2 linked regions of the Elephas maximus indicus genome follow. Each later gene encodes a partner of the first gene's protein in a complex. Links are inferred from orthologs where the notes say so. Each region holds a gene or a part of one and is shown on either strand. Other genes may lie near its edges. The genes, in order: GAS8 and IQCD.

Evidence for each region.
Region 2: GAS8 (region 1) and IQCD share a complex: the UniProt entries of both Homo sapiens proteins name them as parts of the nexin-dynein regulatory complex. The link is inferred for Elephas maximus indicus from reciprocal best matches to the Homo sapiens genes DRC4 and DRC10.

The regions. Positions count from the first base shown.
Region 1 is NC_064839.1:55,106,335-55,113,780, forward strand, and holds the start of GAS8 (dynein regulatory complex subunit 4), read left to right. Parts: upstream 1-4,194; 5' UTR 4,195-4,290; coding exon 4,291-4,293; intron 4,294-6,015; coding exon 6,016-6,102; intron 6,103-7,446. UniProt on the Homo sapiens protein: Component of the nexin-dynein regulatory complex (N-DRC), a key regulator of ciliary/flagellar motility which maintains the alignment and integrity of the distal axoneme and regulates microtubule sliding in motile axonemes.
Region 2 is NC_064840.1:11,361,526-11,369,131, reverse strand, and holds the start of IQCD (dynein regulatory complex protein 10), read left to right. Parts: upstream 1-4,472; 5' UTR 4,473-4,527; intron 4,528-7,606. Other genes in the region: TPCN1 (two pore channel protein 1), read right to left, coding at 935-1,046. UniProt on the Homo sapiens protein: Component of the nexin-dynein regulatory complex (N-DRC), a key regulator of ciliary/flagellar motility which maintains the alignment and integrity of the distal axoneme and regulates microtubule sliding in motile axonemes.

The sequences.
Region 1 (7,446 bases):
AAGGCCGCAGAGATCCCGCTCCAGCCCCTGCTAACCAAAAGGTCGGCAGTTCAAATCCAACGGCCGTTCCTTGGAAACCCTATGGGGTAGTTCTACTCTGTCCCGTAGGGTCGCTATGAGTCGGAATTGACTCAACGGCAACGGTTCAGGTTTTTAGCAGGCAGGCTCTGTTAGTTCCCTCAGTGATTCTAGGAAGGGCGTACTTTCCATTAAGCCAGTTTTCCAGGAGCAGAAGCTGTACTTGCTGAGGCAGCACAGCCAGACGCTCCAAAATCAAGCTGGATTCTGAGCCCAGAACACATGCTCTGCACTTCTACAACAACAAACTAAACCCAAGAAGAACATCGAGGAGGAAGAGCTTGTCTCCAGCCGGAAATGGAAAAGGCTCACAGAGGAGGGAGGTGAGTATTTGTCTTGCCTCCACAGGCAGACTTCAACAGTCCCAGATAGCTGGAAATTCACCCCAGGAGGGGCCAAACCTGCTGTGATGGATGTCTTCAGCCAAGAATGTGGGACACTGAAGGTCCTTGATCCCTAGCCTTAGGGTCTCAACATCAATGAGGCAGTAAATAGCTTCCATTTTTTAGTTCACACACACACAAACAAAACTAAAATGAAACTGCTGCTTGCAACCCTCTAAAATGACCTCATTACCCACAGGAACACCTGCAGTTTGATGCTTCGTGAGGCTGAGAACCTGGATTCACAAAAAGACAGCGCTGAACTACAGGATGGGCAATGGGGAAAGAAGCAAGGCAAGGGCTGCTCTGGGAAGTAGGGACAGTGTGGGAGCACAGGCCACTCCCAGTCAGTTGGGATGGCAGATGGTATTTTCCCAAAATGGCTACAGCAGTATTTCTGGTCTTCCAGAACCTTCCACCCCCTCAAGACTCCCCCATCTATATTCCTTCTGCTTGAACTTGGACGGGCTTGTGACTGCTCCAATCAACAGAATGTGGCAGAGTGATATTATCATGTAATTTCCAAGGCTGGGTAATAAAAAGGATTCATTTTCTACTGGCTCTCTCTTAGAGCGCTCACTGCAGAACCCAGCCACCATGTTGTGAGGAAGCCCCAGCGCACACGTGGAGACCTCCTGTGTGTGTTCTGGCTTCAGCCTAGCTAAAGTCGCAGCAACAGGCAGAAAGTTGATTCCAGACCCTGCCTTTGAACCGCCTCTATGGGTGATGAGCAGAGCCAAGGTAAGCCGTTCCCACTGAGTCCTGACCAAATTGCAAATTCACAAGCAATCCATTGTACTAAGTCATTACATTTTGGGGCAACTTGTGCAGTCCTAGTAACTGTAACTATTACTTAATAAGTACTCCCACCTGAGAGGTGAATAAACTGATACAGAGGGGTCTTGCCAGAGGCCCCTCCAGATGGTAAGTGGCAGACAATCTGACTCTGGAGGCCAGCATTTACTTTTAATTTTTCATCGAGAACATTTTCAAACACACATTCAGGCAGTTTGACCAAGTGGGTCAAACTTTTTGGGCGAAATGGCCAGTCAGTTTGTGGATTAATGTTTGCTCTGGGGTTTTTGCAGGAAATGCAGATGCCATTTATCTGGGTTTCTGAGCTACACAGCTTGATACTGAACAAAATATTTTAAGCCATACAATATGAAGAAAGAGCTCTTTTCTAAAAATCTGAACTCGAATCCAATATGAAAAACTGAGGTCCCTGTTGGGAGCCAGGAGCATGGCAGCTGGGCACCCACACGATTCATCTCTGCAATCCATACTTATATGAAGAGAGAACATACTGCTCAGTCGGTTTCTGACAGATGAAAACCCTGTCTTGGCTATCCTGAGCTAACCCTCCTCTTCTTGCCCTTCTGTGGAAGGAATTATTGTTAATGCATTTATTTAATTCAGTACTCACAGCTAGACTTCTAAGGCCAATCAACGTGATGTACCTAGCATATTGGATCTTAGACAAAGTGTTAAACAATAATAATTGTCCCACTGTGCTACCCAGCTGCACTGTCTCGCCTGCCAGACTCCCTCTGGGAGGCCCCTGCCTCTGAAGGAGGAGGCCCATCTTGCCAGTGGAGTCCAGCATGGGGCTGGTGACTGGTCAGACATCACAAAGGCTTAGGGATAGGCTATAAATAAATCATGGCTCCGTCCTTCCAACTGGATGCTCCTCTCCAAGAACAATAAGGGTCTGGTGGGCAAACAGGAAGCCCCTCAAGCTTATCACAGTGGCCTCAGAAGCTAGGCTGCTGCAGGGTTCCCGAGGACTGAGCAGACCCGGCTACGGAGGCATCATTCCTTTCTGAGCTGGATGGGAAGACCTGAGCCCACCTGAGTCCTCTGTCATTACCCACATTCTGCCCTCTACACAACTCTCCAGGGGTAGAAGATTCCAGAATCTTCTCTATAGGAAAACAAGACCCATCGCAAAACCACTATTCAAGAAGTTGCTAAAGTTGAGAGCAGAGAAAAAAGGACAAATGATGTGTAAAGATGGGCGCTTGCTTATGACAAATCCTCAGTCTTTCAGGTGACTTGGATCCTCATGTCTAGGTAATAGCATGGTGGGGCGGGGGGGGGGTGGGGAATTGGAAATTCACTTTGGAAATCATAAAATGACTAGCGTTTGTTTTACTGAGCTCTCTCTTTTCAGCAGTGCCTATCTGGAAGCCTCTGAGGGATTTCTTCTCCATGAGAACAGAGAGGCCACAGCTGAGGTCTCCAGCACAGCAGTGCATTTCTGTTAAGGGTGGACATGCTGTCACTTAGCAATAGGGGCAGGTGTCAAGTAGACTGTTGATTTCAAAGCTTTGGAGCTAAGCTGAACATTTTTCCTTTATCTATGTTGTTAGGTACTGTTGAGTCGGTTCCGACTCATAACGACCTCATATACAACAGAATGAAACACTGCCTGGGCTTTCACCACCCTCACAATTGTTACGGTTGAGCCCATTGTTGCAGCCACTGTGTCAGTCCATCTTGTTGAGTGTCTTCCTCTTTATCACTGATGCTCTGCTTTATCAAGCATGGTGTCCTTCCCCAGGGACTGGTTCCTCCTGATAACATGTCCAAAGTATGTGAGACATAGTCTCACCATCCTTGCTTCTAAGGAGCTTTCTGGTTGTAGTTCTTCCAGGACAGATTTGTTTGTCCTTTTGACAGTTCATGGTATGTTCAATATGCTTTGCAAACACCACAATTCAAAGGCATCAATTCTTCTTCAGTCTTCCTCAGCTTTCGAATGCATATGAGGTGATTGAAAACACCGTGGCTTTTATATATATATATATATATATGTATGTATGTATATATATATATATGTATGTATGTATATATATATATATATGTATGTATATATATACCACCCACTACCGTCGAGTCGATTCCGACTCATAGCAACCCTATAGGACAGAGTAGAACTGCCCCCGTAGAGTTTCCAAGGAGCGCCTGGCGGATTTGAACTGCCAAGCTCTTGATTAACAGCTGTAGCACTTAACCACTACGCCATCAGGGTTTCCTATATATATATATTTCCCACCGCCCCCCCCCCCAGGATTTGTGGAAATCCAACTATTTTCAACCTTCACCTGGGTAGTAAGCGGGAGGACCCTTCAAAGGTGGCCAGAGTGGGGTGAGTCCCAGGGGGCAGAGTCTCAAACCCAAATTTCAATTTGATTTGGACAATGATCCAGAACCTTGTCCGTGTAGGCTCATTCGTTCACTCACTCACTCCTTCATCCAACACATCTTTATTAAGAGCCTGGAGCACAGAGTGAAGGCAACAGAGCCCCCTCCCGTCATGGAGCTTAAATTACAGTAGCGAAGAGCTTAAGTTACAGTAGAGGAGACAGGCAGTAAACAGAAGACGTAAATTATATTTCCTGTTAGGTAACAAGCTGTTTCCTTAGTTTTCAGATTTTAGTTGGTAGCCCAGGAAGGGGACAACTAAGCAGAGACCTCCCGGGCCTGGGTCAGGATCCCCAACCCGCTGCAGACCGGAGTCGGGGGCCTGGAATTCCTCGTCCCAGTTCGGCGACAACACGCGTTTAGGGCTGTTGGGGAGATCAGGCGATCGGTGACGCGGGGCTGTGGCCCGGCCTGCCCCGGCTTCCGCGACTTGGAACTCCCTCCCCGCGGGCGTTGCTAGGGACGCTCTCCCGTCGTTGCCAGGCCCGCCGCCTCAGGCGAAATCTCGCGAGGATCCCTGAGACTTGGCGCGGGAGCGCCGAGCGTTGCTGGGAGACAGGCGCATCTTCACCGGCCCTGAGAGTTAGTGTGGGGGCCGCGCCGAGGCCGGTCCGGCAGAGCCATGGTGAGGGGGGCCGGGGTGCGGACCGGGGGCCTGGGCGCACTGGGACCCCAAGCCGGGATCTGAGCTCTGGGGCGCTGGAACTGCGCTCGCTGGGATCCCGGACCGGGGGTGTGAGCTCGGGGGTCTTAGACCTTGCGCCCAACCTAGAGCCATGAGCTGTCCAGGATGCTGTGCTCACAGGGCTGCTCAGCCCTGGAGCCCGAGGGCCCGGTGTGCAAAGTACCCGTACGAGAGACCCTGAGCCTGAGGGGATTTCCTGCCTGGAGTGAAGGGCTTGGGGCCTAGAGTCTCATCTCACGGGGGCCCCCCCAGGGGGCCACCCAGGGACCCCAGGAAGGACAGGCTGGTCAGCAGTATCCTAGGACCGCCGGTCCCGGGAGGGAGAGCCAGGGGCTCACCAAGGGGTAGACTCAAATGGGGTCGACTTCTTGGAATAGATCTTTCAGAGAGAGGGTTAGAAAGAGCAGTAAAAGGGGTGGTGGTGGGAAGGTGGAGCCTGGGGCTTCCATGGTTGGATCGTTGGAGAGTAGATTGTGAAGAGACCATCAGCAAAATACTTCCGCTTATTATCATTGGTCGGCAGTTCGAATCCGCCAGGCGCTCCTTGGAAACTCTACGGGGCAGTTCTACTCTATCCTATAGGGTCGCTGTGAGTCGGAATCGACTCGACGGCCCTGGGTTTTTTGGTTTATTAACATTAGCTTGTGGAACTACGGGCGATTTTTTTTTTTTTTTTTTGCTTCTCTGTGTTTCTAAAATTTCCGCTTGACATTTTTTTGCAATTCTAAGAAAGTTACATAGATACCCACACATGGAAGCATGGGCTTCAGGGAGTTGGGAGTAGCAAAGGGCTAAGGATAAAGATTTGTAAAGTCAGATATGGAGAATGAGTAGGGTCAGAGGTTCTCTCTCACCATGAGCAGTTGGGTCTGGTGACCTGTTTACACAGCAGTTCAGAAGCTCTCTTGACCTGGGTTCTTTGAAGGAGTTTTGTATTTGGAAGAAAGGAAGCCTCAAATTGATGTCATTCTGTGATCCTTGCTGCAGAAGCCCTGCTTCCTACACCCATGAATTGGTTTTTTGGAGGTTTTTCCATGGTGGTCACCAAGCTTGTAACAAATGTGGTAGTGTTTGACTGTGCTTTTGGGGGTCTTCCATTTTGACTCCAAGTAAATTTTGCAACCAAAGATAAATTTTGTCCAAAGGCAAAGAGGTCTTTGTCTTATGCCAAGGAGTGGGTGAGTTCAGGAGGGGTTGCCCCTCCTTTCAGCTGGAAAAAATATCCCGTGAAAAGGAAGTCCTCCCCTAGTGCTTCTCCGAAGGACCCAGTGGGGTGTGTGGCATTAAGGATGGAACTTCAGGGCCCTCCTGTTGGGACAGAGATTCCATTGAGGTGCTTCTTTCTCCCAGAAAGGCCCCCGGGAGGGTCTTGGAGCTGGCCAACAAGTGGGAGCCCTTAGATGGTTTATTTACTCCTTCGTCCCTTGTTTAACCACAAAACCAAAACCACACCTACTGTCTCTGAGTCTCTTCCCACTCATAGCGACTCTATAGGACAGAGTAAAACTGCCCCATAGGGTTTCCACGGCTATAATTTTTACGGAAGCAAATTTCCACATCTTTCTCCCTTGGAGCAGCTGGTGGATTCCAACCACCGACCTTTCAGGTAGCAGCTGAGCGTTTAACCACTGTGTCACCACAGCTCCTTTCTTTAACTAACAGGCGCCTAAAAAGAAAGGAAAGAAAGGCAAAGCCAAAGGCACTCCGATTGTCGACGGGCTCGCTCCGGAAGACATGAACAAGGAGCAGGTGAGAGGGCCAGCCCAGCCACCTCAGCCCAGGCCAGCCAACCCCTACTTGACCGCTGTCCCCGCCTGCAGCTGCCTCCACCCTCCCCTCTGTTCATTCTGTCCTCCTGGCCATCTTCTTTCCATCCTGCCCTCCCCGCATCCACCCTCACCCCCTTGTACTTCTCTCCATACCAGATCATGCTCCTTGTTTCCATCCTTCCAGTCAGCTCCAAATTTCTCAAATACAACAGAGCCACAGAAGAGAACATTTTTATAGGGTGGTGGGTTTTGGAAGGAGTAGTATTTCTGATCTAACAGCTATTTCTATTTTTAATTCTCTGTCTCCTTCAGGCCTATTCTTTGATGCACCTGGCTTTTACAGAGCTGTTACTACAGCATAGATACACACAACATCCTCCTTTGTCTTGTTCACTGTTAAACACTATAGCAAATAAAAAAGAAAAAATTGTCTTGTTCACTGTTAAACACTATAGCAAATAGGATGTCTTTAAAAGAACAGATTTACTGAAAATCACATCACCTCCATCTGATTAATTAGGTCATCATTGTTTTGACAAGCTCCAAAGACAAGGAGCCGACTGGCTGCCTTTGCTGTTGCTTGTGCGTACATTTTGGGGGGGAGAGGATCTGTCTTCTAAACTACAGTTTTTTTGTAGGAATTATTTTACATCACTTGTCCATTCTGTTGGTGTTGGGAACTTGATAATTGCATTATTACAGGTTCCTGATAACCACACAAGTGGCAAAACCTTGAAAGCCAAGGAGATGCCACCTGGTATCTGCCTCGGTCTAGCAGGGCCAGGGGCATCTGACGCAGGAACCGAGAGAGGCTGTATTGGCTTGATGGTAATGTTAGTAAGCTGCTTTCTTTTTATAGTTTTAAGACAAAACATGAATACACAGGAGACTGAGAGAGGCCTTGTTGTTAAGGGGGCAGGGCTGTGGAGGCCTTGGAGTTATGATGAAGAATGGCTTTATTTTAGGTGACATTTAAGCAGGGGGTGGTGGGTCAGGCCTGTGTTCTGGGAAGGCCATCTGGGTGCTGGGTGAAGAATGGACTGAAAATGTCTCATTACCCAGTGGCAAATGGCTTCCTGTCCTGTTTACTCTCTAGACTTTAGACAGGGCAGGGCAGCTCCCCTGGCAGAGCTGCACCTTGTACTCTTGGAAGCCCCAGAAGCCCCCAGGATCCAGGCAGCAATCTGGGGGTGACCTGGGGCTAGAGCCCCACTGTGGGGCAACTGCTGCTTGCTCACTAGACAGCCACTCTGTGGCATGGACTCCAGGGCCTCTGACCTCTGATTTTTTCAAGAGAAGAATCTGGATATTTATGAGAAATTGA
Region 2 (7,606 bases), on another chromosome or scaffold:
GGGAGGCTGCTGAGCGCCCTATAACCCACTGTGCTCTCTCCAGACAAAGGAGACCAGGGAGCCAGGCTCGTCCTTCCATGGGCCCAAGTATCCACACTCGCAAACTGGAGAAGAGCAATACCCCTCTGTCCTGGCCGAGGACGAATGGCAGACAGGGGGAACATCCACTTGCCAAGGAGACCCCAAAGCTCTGGTCTCTGATGACTTAGGACCCTCCCTAAAAGGCAGGTTATTTGAAGCCTCTCCTGAGCCCGAAGCCTGAGCAAACGAAGCAAATGGCTTTGGGACAAAAACCAGAAACGTTCTTAAGGCCTCCCATTCTGCCAGAAACACAATTAAAATTTAAAAAATTAAAAGCTCATGACCTCTCTTGGGTTCACTTTGTGCTAGGCTTTGGCTTAAAGGAAGACAAAGCAGAACCCAAAACCCTCAAATCAATGGCTCACTTGAGTGTGTCAACAACATCCACAACAAATGCCAGCTCCCTCCCACCCTGTCCTGGGCAGTGCAGGGGCTGAGCTCGAGCAGAGGGAAGCAGTCAGCTCCACTTTCCTGCCAACAGTTTCAGACTGGGACAGGCTGAGTCTGGTGTGGAAATCTGTTTCTTTTTTTAACAGGGAACGGGGCCGGGAAGCTAGCCAAGAAGCAGGTTAGACTGAGGCCCTAGCTAGACATCCACGGTCAAAGCCAAGGTATCTCTCAGGTGCAAGGGATGCAGGTGGCTGAGGGAGACAAGGGTCCCAGGAGGGCAAGGGAGCCCCCAAAAGCATCATGAAGCTGGGTGTGTAGAATGGGAAACGCCAGGGTCTCCCGGGAGTCATTTCAGTGGCACGACTTGGGGGGTCCGATGTGGGTGTGAGGCAACAGGTATACATCTCCCCATAGACCACAAAGCCCACCATCTCTCAGCCCCCAGCCCATCCCACTGACTTACTTTTGCTAGGCAGTTCCTCTTGGGCCAGTCCATTGGAGGGAGCCAGGGGAGTGCTGCTGCCCTCATCCAAGGTCAGAATCAGAGGCACGTCATCATCTAAGCTCACAGCCATGGTGTCCTCTCCTACAGTCCTCAGGATGCGATGGCCAGGGCCTTAAGTAGTCTCGGGTTTGATGTCCCTTTCAAAGCCACTGCCCCCGGGGTGCTTCTCAGAAACTCCTCCATTAGCGGCATCTTCTAGGGTTTAGGGGGACAGAAAAAGGAAGCGAATCATTCATACACAACCGTCACTGAGGGGCATGTTCTGGGAATAGATGGTGGTTTTGGTTACACAACCTTGTGTCTATATTAAAAACCGCTGAATTGTAGACTTTGAAATGGTGATTTTCATGGTATGTGAATCGTATCTCACAAACCTGGAAAGAACATATACTGAAAAGTTAAGAGTAATTAAATTTGGAGAGTGAGATTACGGCTAATATGTTCCACCACCCTCCCTAGACATTTGTGTGTGTCTTATAAAGATTTAAAGATTCGGAAAAAAATATATAACCATTAAAATAATATTGGTTAATACGCTTTTTTTGAGCACTTACTATGTACCGGGCACTCTTCTAGCCCCATAAGAAAACCAAAAAAACCAAACCCAGTGCCATCGAGTCGATTTGACTCATAGCGACCCTACAGGACAGAGTAGAACTGCCCCACAGAGTTTCCAAGGGGTGCCTGGCGGATTTGAACTGCCGACCCTTTGGTTAGCAGCTGTAGCACTTAACCACTACTCCACCAGGGTTTCCCCATGAGATAGGTAGGATTACTATCCCTCTATGACAGAGGGGCACAGAGAGGTTAGGTAACTTGCCCCAACACCCACAGGTAGAAAGCCAAGCTTGGAACAACACAGTCTGATTCCAGAGCTGTGCTCCCAGCCACCACACCACGATTCCTCTAAGTAGCAGCCTTGATATTTAGGGAGTACCTAGCTTCATTGACCTTAGCACGCCAGGTTATCTGTCGCTATTAGGTGCTGTTGAGTCGATTTTGACACCCCATGTGACAGAATCGAACTGCCCCATAGGGCTTCCTAGGCTGTAATCTTTATAGGAGCAGTCTGCCGTATCTTTCTCCCACGGTGCTGCCTGGGTAGGTTCGAACTGCCAACCTTTTGGTTAGCAGCCAAGTGCTTAACTGCTGTGCTATCAGACCTCCTTTCCATTTCCGCTTAGGAGGACCAAAAGAAAAGCAAAGACTCAGCAGATCTGACTGTGGACCTTTGAACTTCAAAACAGCAGTAGGTTCCGCCCTCCAGCTGTTACCTTCTGGGCTCAATCAACTTTGCCTCCAAGCTGATGCACTGAAATGGCAACCAGGCAACTTAGTTCTTTCACAAAAATCATCAAAATGACTCTAGGCAGACCCTAGTGCATCAACAGGGAACCGCAGAGCTTCTTAAAACAAGGCAGCAAAAGTAAACACCATTCTACTTACTGCAAGCTTGTAAGTCTGCCTGGCTAACTTCCTGTGAGATTTTTTTTTTTAAGTTTCCTCCCAATCTGGGGATTTATTTTGCTTTTGAATCTCAGTAGTGAGGAGGTAGAAAAAGAGGAAATCTCACATACGACACCATTATGCTGTCTTGGGAATTCTGTGCGGTTTATCTTGTTTTAACTTTTTACCATTGATACTTTCAAACACACATAAAAGTAGTGAGAATATGTAAATGAACTTCCTTGCATTCATCACCCGCTTCAACAACTACCAACATTTTGCCATTCTCTCCTGTGTTTATTTTGATGAGAGACTCTATCAACCTTCTCCACACATCAAGAAGTGGTTTCCTAATTTTATCGTTACCATAACGGCTACTGGTTTTGTCGGTTTGTTTAACTGTTTAATACATGACTGCTTGCTTGCAGTGTCTTAGCTCAGTGGGTTTTCCCACGAAAGGGAGATTTGACAATGTCTGCAGCCATTTTTGATTGTCACAACTGGCTGGAGGGAGGCAGGCAGGGTTGTTACTGGCATGTAGTGGGTAGAGGCCAGGGATAGTGTTAAGCATCCTACAGTGTACAGGATAGCCCTCCACAACAAAGAATAATCAGGCCCAAAGTGTCAATGGTGTCTGTTGAGAAACCCTACCTTAGCTAATATCCCTGTTTCATAGATAAAGGAACTGAGGCTTAGAGAGCTTAACTGAAGTTGCCTTTTGTAAGTAAACAACAGGGAAGTGGTCCATACCAAAATAACCCATTCCTGTCCAGTGGATTCCGACTCATAAGGACCCTATAGAGAAGTGGTAGAGTCCAGATTTCAACCCAGGTAGTCTGAATTCAGAGACTTTCCCCGTTTAATTATTACCCTATACCTCTTCCCAGAACAGTGCCCCATAACATTCAAAACCATGGTTTTAGAGAAGGAAAAGTTGGGCCCAGAGAGGGGAAGGGACCTACCCAAGGTCACACGGTGCCCAGGCAGAGCTACAGAGCAGACTCCTGAGTCCTAGCCCAGTGCTCCTTCCAGTGGGCTTTGCTTCTCGCTCTATAGAACACCGAGGGCCGGGGGGAGTCATCCCAGGGAAAGGGGATCAGCAGCTGTCCCGTTACCCGCTGGGGCTGCCTGACCCAGGCATGAGCCCGGTGTAGGGCTGCCTGAGGGTGCCAGGGAGAGAGCTGGAGGGGGAGGAGGAAAGGCTGAGGAGCGCCGGCTTCACGTGCTCCCAGCTCTGGGCCCCAAGTGGGGGCCGACCCAGGGGGCCAGGGGCGAGAAAAGGGGGTGCAAAGCGCCGGCCTGGGCTGGAGGAAGAGAAGCACGTTGGTGATTTTCCTGCGCCCCCCCCTCAGGACCCGTCCTGCCCGCCCGCACACCCCGATGCCCAGACGCAACCTCATACTCAGCGCCTTCTGACCTCTGCCCCCTGGCCTCTCCCCCAGGCCAAGTCCTCGCGCTCCCCAGATTCTTACACGCGCCGCCCCAGCAACCCGGACCACGCGCAGGGGTCCGCACAAAACAGCACAGCCCGCCGGTGCCGCCGCCCAAGCTCCGAGCTCGGAGCTGTTGCAGCCGCCTCCGCCGCCACTTCAGTCGCCGCCACTCCAGCCGCTGCCACCACGGCAGCTGCGCCAGCGCTCCCATCCACCGCCTACAGTGTCCTCAACACTGCTGGCCCCGCCCCATTTCTCCGCTGCCGCAGTCTATTGGCTTCTTGGGTTGCCATGCTGAACTATGATTGACCAAATCTCATGTCCTTCTTCAGTCTTCGCCCACTGCCTGAGCTAAACTCTCTGCCCCCGCCTTGGAAGGGGCGGGACGAAGAAGTCCCGCCCCTTTCCCCGCCCACTCTCCCCGCCTCACCCGTTTGGCCCAACCCAGAGGGAGCCCCGGCTCTCTCAATTGGTGGAGAGTCAGGGATAGATTACTCCTGAGTGGTCAGACTCCCAGGAGGCGGGATAAGCTGGGCGGGAAAAGGAGTTGAATGGTGAAAAGGAAAGTCAGTCAGACCCCGAGTCCCGCCTCCTGAGATTGGCGGGTAACCTAGCAACGCGGGGACCTCGGAGGTAAACTGTGGGTCAGGAGACCTGGAGGCCTCAGAACAGGTGAGTGACCAGGTGGGTTAAGGAGTGGAGGTGAGGGGGAGATGTAGAATGGGGTCTAGGCTGCCCTCCTTTGGATCCCTTAGGAATAGTAGCCCGCACCCCATCCTGTCCCAGCCCCAGGACCCTACTCTCCAGCCTGTTTCCCCTCAGTCAAGTGTAGTCACATCATAGTTAATTTATTTCCAGCCAAACATAGGTGCCGGAAGTGAGAAAGTGGTTATAAATCCCCTACCGTTCCACTCAACGACTGTACGTTCCAGGGTGCATGCAATGAAAGGTTTCTCACGTGACTGAGCATTTCAATTACATAATTTTGATAAGGATCCCTGGTGGGGCAGTGGTTAAGAGCTCGGCTGCTAAGAGTCGGCAGTTCAAAGCCACCGGTTGCTCTTTGGAAACCCTATGGGGCAGTTCTACTCTGTCCTGTAGGGTCTCTATGAGTCCAAATCGACTCGATGGCAACGAGTTTGGAGTTTTTTGGGGGGGGGGGGGAATTTTGATTACACCAATTTTTGCCTTATGTGCCCACTTTAGAACCTAACTCCCATTCCCATCCTTAAAATGCAATTCCATTGCACATACCTCAGACAAAGTGTTTGTTGTGAGGATTAAATGAGGTATAGCAATGAGGAGCTCAGCAAAACGAAGCAACATAGTAAGTGCTCAGTAAATTGTGGCAAGTATTATTATTACTAATTTTCTAAAAGCACGGGTAGCCACAACTCTTCCTGCTTAAAACTGCCCCAAGGAAGTTCTCTCACATCATACCTTAAATATTCACAAGTTCGATGAGTAATTACTGAATGCCTACTAAAGGGCCAAGCACAGTTCTAGGTGCTGGGGTAGAACAGACAAGAAAGCAGCTTCTCTCCTCTGGTTATGGAGCTTGCAGTCTATCATGGGAGACAGACATTCATCAAATAATATACATATTAATATGAAATGACACCTGTGGACATTCACTTTCTATGATGGAAGAATAGGCCAACACGCCCCTTCTCAAAAACTTTAACAACTATAAAGCTAAACAAAACTGTCTAGGGGTATTTCATCCCTGTGGACATCAACCAAAGGCATACAACAAGTTGAGAGAGCTTATTCATGAAAACTACTGAACTTGGAGTTTCTGGTATACTTACCCAAGGCTGTTCCTATTCCCCCTCACCCTAGTTCTGTCAGCATGATAGTTCAAAGAGGGTGGGGCAGGCCATGAAAACCAATAGCTTCACTGTTATTGCTCACTTGATTTGGAGTGTTGTCAGTTAAAGTAGGATATGTTGATGGCAAGTAAATAGGGAGGGCCAACAGACCTGGTTGCAGCATTATTCAAAATAGCCCAAAACTGGTTGTTGCTATGTTAGTTGCTGTCGAGTTGATTCCGACTCATGGCAACCCCACATGGCCAGAGCAGAATGTCTCCATAGGGTTTTTAAGCAAGCTGATCGCCAGGTCGGACTTCTGAGGTGTGTCCAGGTTTGAACTGCCAACCTTTGGTCTCATAAATAATCGCCTAACAGTTTGTGCCACCCGGGGACTCCTCCTGGTCCCACAGGCACCTCTAACTTGATTACATACAAATCTGAACTCACCACCTTCTGTCCCCACACACCACTCCACCCCTCAAGCTCTGCTTCTCTTCCTGTCTTTGCCCTTTTGGTAAACAACCATCCAGCCAGCAACCTGGCCAGAGAACTGGGTATCATCCTTTACTCTTTGCTCTCCCTCCTTCCCCAAGGAGCCTTGGTGGCGCAGTGCTTAAAGCACTTGGCAGCTAACCAAAAGGTCAGGGGTTCAAAGCCACTCCACGGGAGAAAGATGTGGCAGCTTCCATAAAGATGACAGCCTTGGAAACCCAGTGGGGCCAGTTCTACTCCGTCCTATAGGGTCACTGTGAGTTGTAGATGACTTGATGGGACACAACAACAGCAACACAGTCCTCACAGCCAGTCCTTCATCTCATCCTATTGATTCTTCCTCTTCAATATTTCTCAAAGCCATCCACTTCTCCCCATCATCACTGCCTTGTCCCTGGTTGAGGTCACCTCATCTCTCTTCCGGACCTCTTCACCAGCCTTCTAAACCTGATCCCCTTGCCATCTTGCACCTGCCAACCCTTTCGTCACCCTTCATCCCAGGCTGCCAATCTGGCCGTGTCCCTCGCTCCCTGCTTAAAACACTTCTGGGAGCCTTCAATTCCTCCTCCTGAGTGAGGAAAGCTGTTATGCCCAATTTTCTAACCCCATCAAGTCGGGGGAAGCTGCCTCATTTCCTGGTCCACCTGTAAGGTGATCTAGAGGAAATGAAAATCCTAACCAGTATAACCAGGCCAGGATGGAACAAAAGACCCAGTAGTGGAAGTGGTTGGAAACTTAAGAGTGAGAGGGGGTGAGTGCTGAGGTCACTGTTCCATTATGTCTTGTCTGAGTTAAAAGGAAAAAAATGTTAGTTGAAGGGAAGAATCTAACCTACCCATTCCCTTTCCCAGACTTTACCCTCCACCCAGAAAGCTGAAAATAGCCTTTTGATTGAAAGCAGCCGCGGCATCATAGCATCCATCCCCCTCCCTCCACGCTGGCCAGACTGCCTAGAGCACCCGGACAGGCAAGATGCTCAGCCCTGGCTCTGGGTGGGGCATTCCCTTGGGAACACATTCCAGGCGTACATGGTCAGACACAAATGCCTTGGTTTTGGCTTGGGGGTTATACACAGTCCCAGTGAAGGATGAAAAGGGTGGGCCTAGCCTGCTAAATGGCTAACTTCCCCCCACACACTTCCTTTGTGCCCAAGGAGAGGGAAGCTCAGAGCCATAAGGCTGATGCACCACCGGATTTATGCTTCCACATGTAATCATCATCGTTGCTCACCTTTGAAGAGGGCTTTTAACTCTCCCAACAGCTTCCCTATTTATTAAGCCAACCCGGCTCCACACAGCTCCCCTTTGATGTGGCTGGGACAGAGGTTATATCCCTAGTTGTCAGAGATAAGGGACTTGCCCATAGTTATTCTGGAGTCTCCAGCAGGGGACATGTACCAGGTCTCCTAACACCCAGCTTGTGATCTGATCTTGATTCTGTAACTG